Linked DNA regions of Tamandua tetradactyla. The protein of the gene in region 1 purifies or fractionates together with the protein of each later gene. This does not show direct contact. Links are inferred from orthologs where the notes say so. Each region holds a gene or a part of one and is shown on either strand. Other genes may lie near its edges.

What was found. Proteins that work in one complex are often made in the same cells at the same time.
Region 2: the proteins of LUZP1 (region 1) and DAPK3 purify together in Homo sapiens (affinity purification with mass spectrometry; 3 studies listed by BioGRID and IntAct, with this or other methods). This does not show direct contact. The link is inferred for Tamandua tetradactyla from reciprocal best matches to the Homo sapiens genes LUZP1 and DAPK3.

What each region holds. Positions count from the first base shown.
Region 1 is NC_135328.1:203,115,612-203,123,584, reverse strand, and holds the start of LUZP1 (leucine zipper protein 1), read right to left. Parts: upstream 3,344-7,973; 5' UTR 3,248-3,343; intron 2,609-3,247; exon of another isoform or gene 2,566-2,608; intron 1-2,565.
Region 2 is NC_135337.1:78,076,789-78,084,041, reverse strand, and holds the start of DAPK3 (death-associated protein kinase 3), read right to left. Parts: upstream 3,179-7,253; 5' UTR 3,133-3,178; exon of another isoform or gene 3,075-3,132; intron 2,099-3,074; 5' UTR 2,051-2,098; coding exon 1,938-2,050; exon of another isoform or gene 1-1,937. UniProt on the Homo sapiens protein: Serine/threonine kinase which is involved in the regulation of apoptosis, autophagy, transcription, translation and actin cytoskeleton reorganization. Involved in the regulation of smooth muscle contraction.

The sequences.
Region 1 (7,973 bases):
TGAACCTTGAATAGTTCATGTTGAGTGAAATAAGCCAGACAAAGAGGACAAATATAGTATAATTTCTCTTTTATGAAAAATTTAGAAAATATTTACCAATTTCATAGAGACAAAAGGCAGAATAGTGGTTACCAGGGGTAGGAGGGAGGAGGCTATGAGGGAATTGGTTAATGAGTATGAGCATCTGTCTGGGATGATGAAAATATCCTGGAAATAGACAATGGTTAAAGTAACACAGCACTGTCAATGTACTTAATGTCACAGAAATTGTACACTTTAAAACGTGGTTAAAATGATTTCTATGTCACATATATTTTACCACAATTTTTAAAATGAACCAAAAGAAGGAATTCATGCATTTACTCATTCAGCAAATATTTACTCATTCAGCAAATATTTACTATTACATGCATCAAAGTCAAATCTTTCACCTTGGACTATATGGGTTCAACTTGCAGTGTGCTTTGCTCTAAGTCAACAGCCGCAAAATGCATGGTACATGACAATGGTTCAGTTTCACATCAATGTGAAACAACAACAACCTCTTACAGTGTAAGGATCATTAGCTATCCATAAATAAAATCTGTGATCACTCAGGTACTCTATATTTCAATACCAATTCTTCCATCATAAGCTAAAAGCTATTAAGGGCCAACTGCATACAGGACAAACCACTATCACAGCCTTATACATTTGTCTTTCTATCAAAAAACTGGAGCATCCCAGCAGCATACTGGCATTGCTGCAAGTAAGAAGGTAATATTTTTGGAGAACAAGCTTAATTTACTTATTCCAGAGTTCACAGCATATCAGTGGCTATTTCAAAGGCTTTCGCATGTTTCCCGAGGGAACATGCGTAGCAGAATTAACTACGGATCTTATAAACCGGGACTTGGGTTTGAATTCTAGCTCTACCTCTTATTAGCTGTAGGTGTGATCTTGGTAGTCACTTTTCCATTCTGATCCTTAATTTGCACATCTGCAAAATAAGGAAGTCAACTACCACCTCATAGCATTGTTGAGAAGAACAAATGAAATATAAACCACCTAGCGCAGTTAGTGGGCAATAACAACTCAATAATATTAGTTCCCTTTCTTGGTCTTAAATAATTTAAGAAATTATCTAATAATCAAGAAAAACTAACTCATAATCTAAGTTATTTTATCAATAGCGAGTCAGCAACCAACCTGTATTTGCTGCCTTCTCCGTACTCCAAATCCCTCCCTTCTCATCCCACTATTTCCAGTTTTTCTTTTTAACTTTAGTTACTATGTTTAGAAAAATGATTTAATTTTAGAAACCTGAAAAATTCTTCTGAGTAAATTGAGCAAATCCTTAATCTGCCCCATGGGGAATTCTAAGCAAAATAGTTATTTTTGACAAGAATTTTCTATGAGGGCTATTCAATTTATCCACTCCAATACCACCAATGCTGCACACAGTGATGGAAAGTAATCAAGAAATGTTCTGTATGGATTCTCCCAAAGGAAATATCCTCCTAAAATCCAAAACCCTCCCTGAGGTAGTAGAATCTTTCAGGGTAATCTGAACTCTCCAGGCTGTGACAAGTCCAGCTCCTCAAGCCACAGCAGCAGCAGTTCATAAAAGAAATACCTTGAACAAACCCCACCCCTCAAAATATCCCCAAAAGGCAGGGAAGTCAAAGGAGTATTTTCTCTTCAGTGGACAGATAAGACACCAGTTCAGAAGCACAATCCTTTCCCCAAGGTCATTCAAGTCAGTGAAGGTGCGACGGAGAATCTGCAAGCAGTCTCCGGCCTAGCGGAGATCACACTGCAGGTTCTTTCGGGGATGCCTATTCTCTCCCCCTCCCACCCTCAAGTATGAGCACAGGCCTCGGCATTTCCGAAACAAGCCACAACAAGCTCTGCAGTGTTAGGAAAGGGGCTGACGCGATGCCGAAACAGATGCTCCAAAGCAAGATGGTCTTTCTCGGCTTGCAGAGCCTCCTCCAAGGTTATTAACAGAAACCACAGGTACCTCGGGGAGCCCTAAACCGGACTCCGAACCCCCAACACAGCCGCTCCCGACGCCCGGTCCCCCTCACAGCCAGAGGCCCACCGGCCCCAAAAACCGCGCTTCATTCCTGCTCTTGAGGAAGTCATGGCTCTTCCCCGCCGGGGCCGAGATGGGGGGGGGGGGGAACGAGGGGGGCTTGGGGTACGCAGAGAGGCGGGCCGAGCGCGCTGCGGAAAGTTCACCGCGGCCGGCAGGCGGGGGGCGGCCCCCGGCCCGACTCGCCCGCGTCCCCTGCAGATTCCACCATTAATTAGTCCTAAGGACTGTCTACTGGCAACTTAAACAAAGCGAATGCCTCGAATTCCTTCCCGGCCCAGCGGTCTGGCTGCAAGACCAGCAGCGCCCGGGACACGGATCCGCGCGGCCGACAGCTGCGGCGGCGGCGGGACCCCTCCCCGACCCGCGCCGCCCCCGCAGCCCCGCAGCCCCGCAGCCCGGCGCCCGCAGTCCGCCGTCGGGCGCCCGCAGTCCGCCGTCCGCAGGCCGGTGCAGCACGCCGACCCGGCGCGCTCCCAAACCCCCACCTTCTCCTCCTCCTCCTCCTCCTCGGGAGCTCCCGGCTCTTCCTGTATGATCACTTCCTTCCTCCCCGGGTGCCCGCCTGGCCCCGCGCAGCCCCCTCCCCCGGCGCCCAGGCCCCCCGCCCCGCCCGGCCCGCGCCCGCCTGCTCGCCCAGCGCCGCGCCGCGTTCGCCCGCACTCCGCACGCCCTCCCACCGCACCCCAGACTCGACTCCAAAAAGTCTTCTCCGAGCCTCGTCCCCCGAAAATGTCTCCTCTGCTTTTCTGCCCACCCCCAACATCCCTCTCCAGATTCTCTCTCCCACCAAGAAGTCACCTCAGAACCGTCCCTCCCCCAACCGAAAGAAAAATCTCCTCAAATTCTCTTCCTCCAACTCCAAGAAAATCTCAAGGTCTCGCCCCAAAAGATCTCCCGTCAGGGTCTCTCCCCCGATCGCTTCCTCCAAAATCCGCTCAAACTCTTCACACACACACACACATACGCGCACCCGGAGGCAACCTGGATCCCCACCCCCCCCACCTCCCCTCTGGCTCGCCCGCCAGTTCGGCTGCCGGTGTCCCGACCCCTCCGGCTGCCCTCCTCTGCCCCGGCACACCCCAGCCGCCAGTGCCGAGCTCCTTCCCCGCTCCCGCCCTGGGGCCGCGAGCGGAGAGTAGTCCTGTCGCCTCCCGGCAGATCCCTCACCTTGGTGACTCTGGCCCGTGCTCCCGCCGGCCGAAAGCTCGGCTCTGGACTCCCGGCTGCCGGCGCCTCCTCCGACTCCAGGGGACTGACAATGAGGGGCGGGCCGACTGGTGGCGTCATCGTCGGGGCGGGGCCTGAGGCGAAGGGAGGGACCTTCCGGAAGGTCCCGCCCTCTCCGTCCTTTACCCCTTCCCAGGCCTTGAACACTGCCAAGTTATTTTGCCTGCCAAGCTAGGTACCCAAGACCTGTGCTAGGCGCGGTGGGAAGTGAGAGGGGTGCTCTCACAGGGGGTTGTTAGATTAAATGAGATAATTTATGTAAAAGGCGCTTAGTCCAGGACCCTTAATAAGTAATCACTCAACAAATCCCATTTGTGTTATTGGGCAAATGTGGAAAAGGAAATCAGGTTGGACTCAGAAGGTATGAATTCCAGTCTCCAGTTCTGCAGTTAATTCATTGTGTTCTCCTAGACAAGTCCCTTCCCATTCATATTCCCGGCTTTCAGCTTCTTTAAAACGGGAAGGAGTGATGACCACATGATCTTAAAAATCCCTCCAAGGTACCCAGAGCCCAGAGAAGTGGGCAGGGTTTTGAAGGGAGGCCAAGACCCACACCCAGAAGGGTGCAGGACACAGCCAGAGATACTCTCCCATACGGCTGCCCTCCCACGCTCTGGCAGGGAGCAGCATTCACAAGCCGGGACACAGATACACCAAAGGCTGCTCTCTCTCTGACTGCAGCAGCATAGCTGGCCTCTTGAGACATCTCTTGTGTAAGCTACTTTTTGCCTATGGCATAAAGGCCAAAGTCCTGGCCTGGCCTGATCACTTCCTACCTTTCCAGAAAGACACACACAAACACACACACACACACACACACACACTGTAAAGTTTATCCAGACTTCCCCCTGGCACACCCACTGCTTTCCCACATCTGCCCCTTTGCTCATGCTCTTCCTTTGCTGTCTCATCTCAATGTGCCACCCCTCCTAGTTTCCCTTCCATTGTGTTTAACTCTCATGAGGCATGGTCACATTCTAACGTGTATCGAACTGACCAACTTGTTTCTTAGCACTTCCTCCAGGTCAGAACCCACAGGGTTTTATGGAGCTCAGGTTCTGTTGCCAAACAAACCTCTGATCAAATACCCACATTCTGGCCCCTTCTAGGTCTCTCTGAGCTTCAGTCTCCTCATCCATAAATAGGATATAATAATATGGTCATTTTAGGGTTTGTTTTTAATTTACATAATCTACTGTGTGGAAAGCAGCAAGCACAGTGTCCCACAAATGATGTGGTTGTCATATTATTATTATCATCATTATCAATATTATTTCTAGCGCCTAGCACCACACAACACCCCCACGATAATCCACCCAATCATTCTACAAAGGAAGACTTTGGGGTCCTGAGAGAGAAAAAAGGCTAGTAGCTCCACAGAACATTGCCATTCAAAGGGGAACTAGCAGTCAAAATTTCAGAACCTGTGTGGATTCAGCACAATCATGACCAGTCTGATACCCCGGGCTGTCTCTGACCCTAGGGCCCCGTCCCCCACTTTCAAGTTGATGACAGCTGCAGAGCTTTCTCTGCAAGTGCTTTGCAGCTGAGCTGACATGCTTCTCCCTTGGGCCTTTCTCCTTTCGTTTTCCTTACAGAGAGATGGTTCTGTGCTAAACTGCCCTTGGCATCTCTGCAGTCCTCGAGGAGAGCTGCAGCAAGGCCTTAGGAGTGAGAGTATTGGCCAGTGGGAAGAGAGGAAGAGCTTTGGGGTTCTGATTAATTTCTTACACTGCAGACAGGCAAATGGCTATCCTAAAATGCTTGGGCTGATGGTCAAGGGTCCCTAACAATGTGTGGCGTATTTTTAGAATAGGAGATTTTAAAATGCTACTTCCCATGAAAAGGAGGCATGGCCACAGAATTTCTGCAGGCCTTTATTGAATTCATCCTATGTGCTGATACAAATTCCAAGCACTGCAAATCCTTAGAAGGGAGAACCCAATGTATACAAGGGAGGTTCTGAAGACAGAATTTTTTCACCAGGAACCCGTGGCCCCCTCAACTTTCTATTCATCCATTCCCAACACAGACTTTGACACATCACAGCTGAGGATTCAAATTCCAGCTCCACCCTTCCCCAGCTGTTTGACCTTGGGCTTTTAAATTCTTCACCTCAGTTTCTCATCTGCAAAATGGGAATATAATAGTACCTACTTCAGAGAGTGGTAGTAAAGATTCAATGAAATAAATACATGAAAGAGCTTAGCTCAGAGCCTGGCACCTAGTTCATGCGAGGATGTTGTGGCTACAGTTAAAGGATGTGTAGGCCTCTGGGCTGGAAGTAGGGCTAAATAACAGTTCCCACTCTCGAGAAGCTTAGTCAAAAAAAAAAGCATAGGGTATTTTGCAGGAATAGGCAAGAAAACAGGTCCCCTGAATATTGCTAAGTGAAAGAAGTAAAAGTAAGTTGCAGAATTGCAGGTGTGATAGGATCCCATGTTTACAGCTTAGAATATGCAGAGAAAAATATGGAGAATATAAAAAATGAAAAACGGGACTTTCAATCATTTTTCTGTCTGCGTGTGTGTACACGCACATGTGTAGCAGGAACTTTCAAAAAAGATCTTACGTTTCATTTTATTTTTCTGTTGTCTTTTTATTTATTTTTCTGAATTGATGCAAATAATCTAAGAAATGATCGTGATGATGAATATGCAAAAAAAAGAACGTGTATTTGTTTGTTGTTTACAATAAAATATTAGAAAAAAAGATCTTACTAAATGCCGAAGAGAGGAAAGGAAATAGATACAACTACAAGGCACATCAGCAGTGGGCATCTGAGCCTACTGTGCCTGATGCCATAGAATGTTCTGCAGATCCCATTCCATTTCTTAAGGGGTTCCAGGGAAAGCTCCTGTCCAGCCAGTTCTCATCTTCTCCTCCAACCTGAGTCCCTGGTTGCACTTGAAACTTTCAACGCTCTAAGCCAAAAGCAAGACTGCTAAAAGAACGTTCAGGCAGGGCCAGTAGGGGAGATATTAAAGCAGGAAAATTTTTTTGCCCTCTGTCCTATGCCCTTCCTCCACTTCCCAAAGAATAGCAATAAGTCAGCATCTTATGCCTACTGTGCTAAAACTCGCACTTTCGTTTTTCCTCATTATATCTTTCTGCAATTAAATTTTTTTACAAGGTGCACATATTACTTTGTCATCAGAAAAAAGGCAGTAAAGTCATATGTCAAAAAGAAAGCTAACCAAGCTGGAGTTGATTCATTTCTGTTACTTTGTAAACAATAAACTATAACACAATATGACTGAGGCCAGTGCCAAGTCTCAAGGAAGTCATGGCATGATTTTGAGTCCTCTCACATTTTAGGGCACCATCAATACATGAATTTCATCCATTCATTCCTTCAACAAGCATTTATGAATCCTTACTAGAAATCAAGCATGATGCTGTGTACTTAACAAATAATATTTTATACAGGTTATAGGAAGTCATTATTCCTATTTTGCAGATTAGGAAACCAAGACTCTGCACTCAAGTAGCCATCATTAGCTGGGTGGACTTGGACAAGCCACTAAATGACTCGCAGCAGCAGTTCCTCTCTCCGGACCCCACTCCTGCCTGGTAAGGGTATACCAGGATATTTTACACAAGTTAAGTACTTTCTTAGCTATAAGACATAATACAAGGGGAGGGCATCATATCAGTTCTTTGAATCATTGGCTCACTTGGTGCATTGCCTGTTACTGTTTTTCCCCATGAGAGCACTTAGGACATCTTCCCTGTGGGAATTCATCTTATTCCCCCCATTAGCTTGGGATCGCCTCCTTATTCATCTCCGATCCCCTTCTGCCCCTAGTGCAGTGCCTGGCAGACATCCCTCCATTCTTTCCCTCTTTACTTCATGAAAAGTGACTCACTGCCTAACATGGAACACAATTAATTACTTAATAACAATTACATTAAGTGCTACAAAAGAGTAGCCCAGATACTTTGAGGGCTTGGTGGAATCTAATCAAATCCAGGAGGCAGAGAAGGCTTCCTAGAGGAGGTGGCCTTGAGGCTTAGAGAAGTTAAGGAACCCTTCAAGGTCACTCCTCTGGTAAGCGGAAAAACTGGGATTTTAACCCAGGAATGCCTGCCTCCAAAACTCTATCTAATGGAGCAAACTGCCTTTTATCTCCTCTACCTTATTCTTTCTTGGCTCTAGTTAGTGAGACAGAAGCAAGGTCTGTCCAATACTGGATACTCTAAAGCAGTGTTTTTCCCAGCTTTGGGGGACTCATGAATCCCTTTGAGAATCTGATGTAATCTGCAAAACCTCTCCTTAGAATTACACATTTATAGATAGAAGCCAAAAATCTCACTGCCTATTTCAGAGGGTTCAGAGGCATCCTGAGACCTGGGTTTAGAATTCATGCAAGGATCACAGGACCTGACAGTGGTTCTCAGAATCTCAGAAAGAGACACCAGGGCTTCAAGGAAACCTCAAATCCCCCAAACAGACCCTAGAAACCTATACAAAGATTCTCAAGATCCAGTAGAAAAATTCTGGGTGTAGAGGCCCCAAGTCCCTATACAGTAACAGCAGGGCCTTGTAGAATATTCTCAAGACTATGTAGGAATCACAAACCTTCATAAAACCCAAGTGCCAGTAGAAGACTTGTAGAGAAATTCGGGGGCCTTGTTAAGCAGTGGTTCTTAACACTTTTTGGGT
Region 2 (7,253 bases), on another chromosome or scaffold:
ATAGGAGAAGGGTCAGAGCAACTTCCACCAAATGCAAGGGGTTGACAAACTTTTTCTTTAACGGGCCACGGAGGAAATGTTCTCAGCTTGGCAGGCCAGACTGTCTCTGTCATGACTGTACCTTTCTGTAATGCAAAAAGCAGCTGACATGTAGTCCAGTGAGCGTGACTCTGTTCTGACACAATGTTAATTATTAACTACAACTGTGAACCCTGAGGCATGAACAGGTCATCGTTTTCACATGTCATGGAACTTAATTCTTCTAACTATTTTTTTCCCAGCCATCTAAAAAATGTACAACCACGGACTGTACAAAATAAGTGTCAGGGAGGGGAAGAAAAGGAAAAAAACAAAACAAAACCCAATGTCAAGTTGGATTTGTCAACCCCTGAGTAACTAGATCAATAAACTGAAGGAAAAGGCGCACTTGAACTTGGATTAAAAAAAAAAAATCAGAAAAGATACAGATGATGAAAATACAACTCTGTGATTACATTGTCTTTAACCTTATGCTTCAGGTACCTCACAGAATGTTCCAGAACATTACATACAGCTGTGCTGTCCAAATTGGCAGCCACTAGCCATATGCCCTCAAAATGTGGCTGGGCTGAACTGAGCTGTATAAGTGAATGCAAACAATACACTAGCTGTCAAAGGCTTCAGACCTAAATAAATACATAAATAAAAGCAAAATATTGAGGCATTTTAAAATACAGATTACGTGTCAAAATGATAATCATTAGGATCTATAAAGTTTAATAGCCTATTATTAAAATTCATTTCTCCTGTATCTTTTTTATTTTTTAATGCTCCTAGAAAATTTAAATACTTTAGATATGCGACTCATGTTATATTTTTATTTGGGCAGCGCTAGATCTTTGCCTGCTTTCTTCTAACTGCATAATTGCCTAATATTCCTGTCAATGGATGTCACAGGTTTTGGGCAGCCAGGAAAGTAGTTTTCCACCCCTTGCTTATCTGCCATTACTATAGTAACTGACCCTGTTCTTAAATAGCCGGGTCTATACATGTGTTTCCACTGAATTAATTCCTACAAGTGGAACTGGTGAGTCAAAAGGAAAGCACCATTTAAATCTTGTTGCCTTTTGCCAAACTTTCCTCCAGTGGGAGACTCTAAGAGGCGTTCAACAATGAAGGATATGATTTCTCCAGGGGGTGGAGGTGGGGGGGGTGCTTACTCTACCATTCTAAGGGAAGAATTTCTAAAGGAAGGAATTAAGGATTCCAAATGAGTCTGGAAACTCTGTCTAGGCTGGGCACAACACATGGTATGCTTATTTACATTCCCATTAGGTGACATCATGGGGCTGCCAAGGCGGCTCCAGGAAGGCTGGCCAGCAGCAAACTCACCAAATAAGGTTTGAAGGGCCACAAATCAGGGTGGGCCTAGAAAGTGACTGGCTACCCTGCAGTGTGTGTTTAGGGGGTGGGGAGGGGGGGGGGGTCCTCAAAGGGACCTTGAAAACCCAGCCAGGCAGGAAATCAGCTGCCTCACTGGAATGGGAAACCTCAGCTTTTCCCACAAGAATGTAAAACAATTGGCAGGGACACGGGCCAGACAAGAGGCCTTCCTTTTAAATGTGCAGAAGCTCGAAGAAATTCTCCAACGGCTCATCTCATACAAAAGAGAGTTAAAAGAGGGGGACTGGCCTCTAATAAAATTACTAGCACCTATTGTTCTCATCTCCTGTGCCAGGCACCATATTTATTCGAATGATTCCATTTTGCCACCAAGGAAATGCAGAGGGAATGTCAGAGCGAAAATTCCAGCCAGGGCTGGCTAACACTGAAGACCAAACCCATTCTACCAACACATGCCGCTGTCTCATTTCTGCTTGAAGAGGAAGTTCCCATTCAGAAAAATCCTGCAGCCCCCCTTTCCTCCCAGCAAAGCCCAGTCAGAGGAGATGGCTCACCTGCCCAGTTCCTCCCCCATCTCATAGTATTCCTCCACATCTTCCTGCCTGAACGTTGACATGGTAGCCAATCTGCCTTCCAGAAACTTCTGCTCCAGTGGAAGTCCAGTCATTCACTGAAGTCTGGGAACAGGGCCTCAGGGAGACCGTTCACCATGAGCCTGAAGGAAACAAGGAAGGCAGGAGCTCAGCCACCAGGTATTTCTCCTATAAAAGCAGAATGACCCGTTCACTGAAAGTAAGTTTCATATCACTTCCCCAAAAGCATTTAGCCGGCTGGACACTTTCATGTGTCCTCTTGTGTGGAGGCCGGAAGCACCCAGAAAGATTGGCGTTACCTCACTGTAACACCTTCACCCCATCCCCAGGCCTCCCACCAAGCACAGAGGACCCCACAGCTGCCCCACACAGAGCCCCAAGCTTTCTCTGCCTCCCCCTCCTTGACTTCTCCGGACCTGCTCTTCCAGAGTCCTCAACACATTCCAGCAAGTTCCCCCACACCCCAGGGGCTGCCAAACTTCCCAAGGTAGTTCTAAACCAACAGACCCCCATCTGCTTCGTCATCAGCTGACCCCATGCACCTGGACGGGTCTCTGAAGTCCCTCCTCGGCGGTCGCCATGCCCCCGCCTCTTCCGCTCCCCAAACCTGAATTCCCCAGGAGCTGGGACACCGCCTTCCAGATTCCTGCGAGCCCCCTCGGCCCTCTTGCGTCCTCCACTGTCCTAGGGAGACTAACCTCTTCCTCGTCCTCCCTCCTAAACGTCCCCCAATTCGGTCTCCCCCAGACCCAAACGAGCCCCCTTGGGGCTCCTCCACGCCACCCCCACGCCCGCGAAAAGGCTGCTGTTGAGTCTCCTCCACTGTCCTTCACCCCAAAGAGGCCCTTCGTGGACCCGAGTCTCCCCAACCCCTGACCTTCCTCCCCGAGGCCACCACGCCCCTCGCGGGCCCCGGACCGGCTCCTTCTCCGGCCCGAAACCCCCAGGGAGTCTCCAACGCGCCCTCCACAACCTCCCACCGTCCCCGTGTCCTCCAAGAGCGCTCGGCACGGCCGCGCCCCCACCTCGAGAACCCTCCCCAAGAGTCTCTGCCGCCCCCACCCAGCCTTCCGGCCTCGACACGATCCCGCTCCGCACCCTCCGCGGCCCTCCGCGGCCCTGAACCCCAGGCCGGTCCTGCCGCCGCCGCGCCCACCGCCACCGCCTTAGTCCCCCGCCGTCGAGACTGCCGCGACGTGCCGACCTGCGTGACGTCACCGCGTCCACTAGTGCCCGCCTTCCGAGATGCGAATCCCACCGCCCATTGGTCGGCGCGCCGCGCTGTCATCTCGGTGCCCCGCCCTCCACCATCTGATGTCCTGCCCCCCTCCCGAATGCGGCCTCGCCATTGGCCGACGGGCTGACCTGCCCACAATTGATTGGCTGAAAGGAACGTTGGTCAAGCTGACGGAAGGAAGGCCAACTTCCGAGCCCGGGACCTCTCCTCCTCTGACCCGGTCCTGAAGCGTGGGGGCCGGATGCTAGAGTTCAGCATCCCACTTCCTTCTTTTCTTGAGTAACTTATGACTCCTATTGGTCTCAAGATAAATAACAATAGCTAGCATTTCCTGAGCATTAGAAGGTACCAGAACCATAACCCTAGGAGGTTAATATTTTCCCCGATCTACTAACGAGGGAACAGACCCAGGGAGGTTAACCAGCCCAAAGTCACGCAACCAGTAAATGGCATAGCCGAGATTCATCCCCAGAGAGCCAAAGCTGATGCCGACCCACGTCCGAGGCCACTGGGCATAAGACCCTGCGCCCTTTGGTCTCTGCCGACAGCCTTAGCCTCATCCCCTACCAATCTCCCCTTTTTTCAATCCACTCCAACCCCACTTTCCTTCCTTCTGACTTGGAACATATAGTTGGCTCCTCCACGTCTCTGCACGAGATGTTTCTTCTGGCTGGAATTCGCTTTCTTCCGCACTTCTTCACTTTAAGTGATGCAATTCTTTTGACAACACGTGTTGCAAATACAGTAGTCCAGCATTTTAAGGTTTTAATGAGGTATCATTGACACAACATAATCTTATCTGTTTGAACTATGCATTTGGATTAGTGTTTTGTTTTTATAACCATCACATCTATTCCCACAACTTTTTCATCATCCCAAATAAAACCTCTGCACCATTAACAATAACTCATTTCCCCCTCCCTCCAGCTCCTGGCAACCAATAATCACATCCTACCTCTGTGAATTTGCCTATTTCCCCTATCTCATATAAAAGGAATCATACAATATCTGACTTTCTGAGTTTGGTTTACTTAGCTCAGCGTATTTTAAGAGTTCACCCATTTTGTTGGCTCTATCCGAACTTCAGTCCTTTTCACGGCTAAATACTATTCCATTGCATGGATATGCCACATCTTGTTTATCCATTCATCCACTGATATTTTAGATGTTCCCACTTTTTGGCTGTTATGATTAATGTTGCTATGAACCTTTGTGAACTAGTATGTTTAAGTCACTTTTCAATTATTTTGGGTCTATACCTTGGAGTGAAACTGCCAGGTAATTCTCTTAATTTTTTGAAAAATAGTATCTTTTCCAGTGGCTGCTTAGCTTTACATTACTACCCTCAGCCATGCATGAGTCTCCACATTCTTGCCAACACTTGCTATTCTTACTTTTTCTCCCCTCCCATTAACAGCCATCTACTAAGTGTGAAGTCCTATCTCACAGCAGGCTTGATTTGCATTTCCCTGATGTTGAGCACCCATTTAGGTGTTCATTATCCATTTGCCTATTTTTGGAGAAGTGTCTATTCAGATCCCTTGCCCTTATCAGATGTGATTGTTTCCCACTCTGCATGTTATCTTTTTACTTTCTTGATGTCCTTCAATGAATAAAGGATTTTTTAGTTTTTTTATGAATCCAGTTCAGCTATTTATTTTGGTATATTTATTTGTACATTTGATGGGAATCCCATGGGTCTTAGGCTGTTATTTTCCTTTTTTTTCAGCTACTAATTGGGTAAACTCAATAAACCCATTTCCAAGTTCACTGATTCTTCTGCCTGCTCAAATCTACTGAACCCTTCCCACTGAATTTCCATCTCAATTATAGGCTTGCATGCCAGAATTTCTATTTTATTAGATTTTATTATTTCCAAGTCTTTATCAATATGTTTGTTGACACCATTCTCCTGGTAGTTTAGTCCTAAGCATACTTTGCATTGTTTGTTTTTGAGCACAGGACATTTTGAATATTGTAATGTGGCAACTGGTTTACTTTTCTAAGCTCTCGTCAAGTCTGTATCCCTTGTTGCGTGTGGTCCCTAAAGTCTGTTCCATTAGCTTATAGAAGCTTAGTATTTTTTAAAACACCAAGCAAAGAAAAACATTCTCCCAGTCTTTATACATTGGCTGTATTGGGGCACCCCTTTCACGTTTAATCAGGCCATTTACACTACCTTAGCTTTCACCTCCTGCTCTCAAGGAGCCCGCACATCAGCCAGAGATTAAAGCTTGGGTCTTCCCAGGCCTTTGCTGAGCCAAGCACCCAGTCCTAGGCACACGTGTGACTGTCCCAATTCTCCAATGTACACAGGAGTTCCCAGCTCTAACTTACCCATTTCTCAATGTCTTCCTCCACAGAATTCTCCACCTATTGCTCTCCCTTGCCCCACGCCACTGCAGCTAATTCCATCACCTCTAAATGCTTTTAGCAAACGGTAACTGGGAATTACCACCGCTCTGGAAACACCCTAGGAGCTGTGAAACAAATACAAGCCCTTGTACTGGCCCTCAAGAGTGCCACGAGACAGTTCTTTTGAGGTCTGTACCTCAAAAGAAATCGCCAGAGCAAAAGAAATTGCTCCGGAAATAGCCAGGTGCACAAGGAGCGTGTGCTGCTGTCTTCACAGCCACCGCTGGTCTGGCACAACACAGCCACTTTAAGTTTTCCCCTGGCTGTTTTGATTCCAAAGTTCTGCAAAAACTGATCCTGACAGGTATTTACCAGCTTGTTATTAGTTTTTTTTTTTTTCTGGGGGGTTGGGGGGTAAGAGAGCTGGAGTTCTCTATTCTGCCATTTTCAGTTCCCTTTGTACGTTTTTTTTTTTTTTTTTTTTTTTTTAGGATGGGCAGGCACCAGGAATTGAACTCGAGTCTCTGGCATAGCAGGCAAGAAATCTGCCACTGAGCCGCCATCGTACCACCCCCTCTGTACTATTTTTAAAGGGGTATTTTACACGTTTTTTAAAAAGCATTAAAATAGTGGCTAAGTATATACAAATATTTGATACGAACAGAGCAGTGACAGCTGTCTAAATGTTGCTCTTGGAGTCCATTCTCCTTGTTAAAAAGACATAGCAAATTGACAATATTCAAGACTTTTCTGCCATTTCCTTCCAAGTCTTTGGCAGGACTGTGGTGGGAGGACTTCACAAGTCCACAAACCACATGAAAACCCTTGTGCACCTGCATACTAAGAACCAAGTACAACCCCTTCACTTTGCCCGACCCTTCTAGGTCATCCCGCACACTAGCTGGGGCTCAGTGCGGATTCATGATGCACCAAAGAGGCCAGGATGAAGAGCCTGAATAGTCACCAGCGGTCCTTCAGCACTGGAGAACCCTTGCCCATTGCCGGAGGTCAGCTGGCTATCCCAGCTAAGTTTTGAGAACAAAGGAGGGGCACCAGATTGGCAAATCAAGTAGATCTTGGTCAGTACTGGAAACAGACTCCTCCAGGAGAATCTCCTGGCATTTTATATGGGGGCTTTCTTTTAGTGACGCCTCTTCCAAAGCTAGTTCACAGACGCACAAATATATCACTATAATATATAATACTGCTTTGTAAGTTCAATTTCTACAAAATATTTTACTAATTACTATAAAAAATGATCAAACTTCTTGCCCCTCTGGCTGCCAGGAAGCTCACTGCCCATTACAAACCTAACTCAGCAACTAAAACCCAAATACACACACACTTCAAGGACTCATGTTCCCTTCTGCTCCAGCTACTTACATTTCTATAAATGTCTTTTGATACGTTAAGAAACAAATCTTCAGACAACTTTCCTGCAGTGGGCAAATGGGCAGTACAGGGCTATAGACTGGTCACCCCCTCCCAACTGGATGCCCCACTTCTGTGCTTCAGAACCCACTTGCCTCCTGGAGGACAGATCTGAAGGGATAAACTATATACATTATTTTAAAAAGCTTAGACTAAGGTCTGTCTGGTAAAATTCCATGTTTTAGTATCTTTGGCAATTCTACAAAGGAGTATTTGTTGACCTGTTTCTAGCACTAAATTAGCCTTGGGGTTGG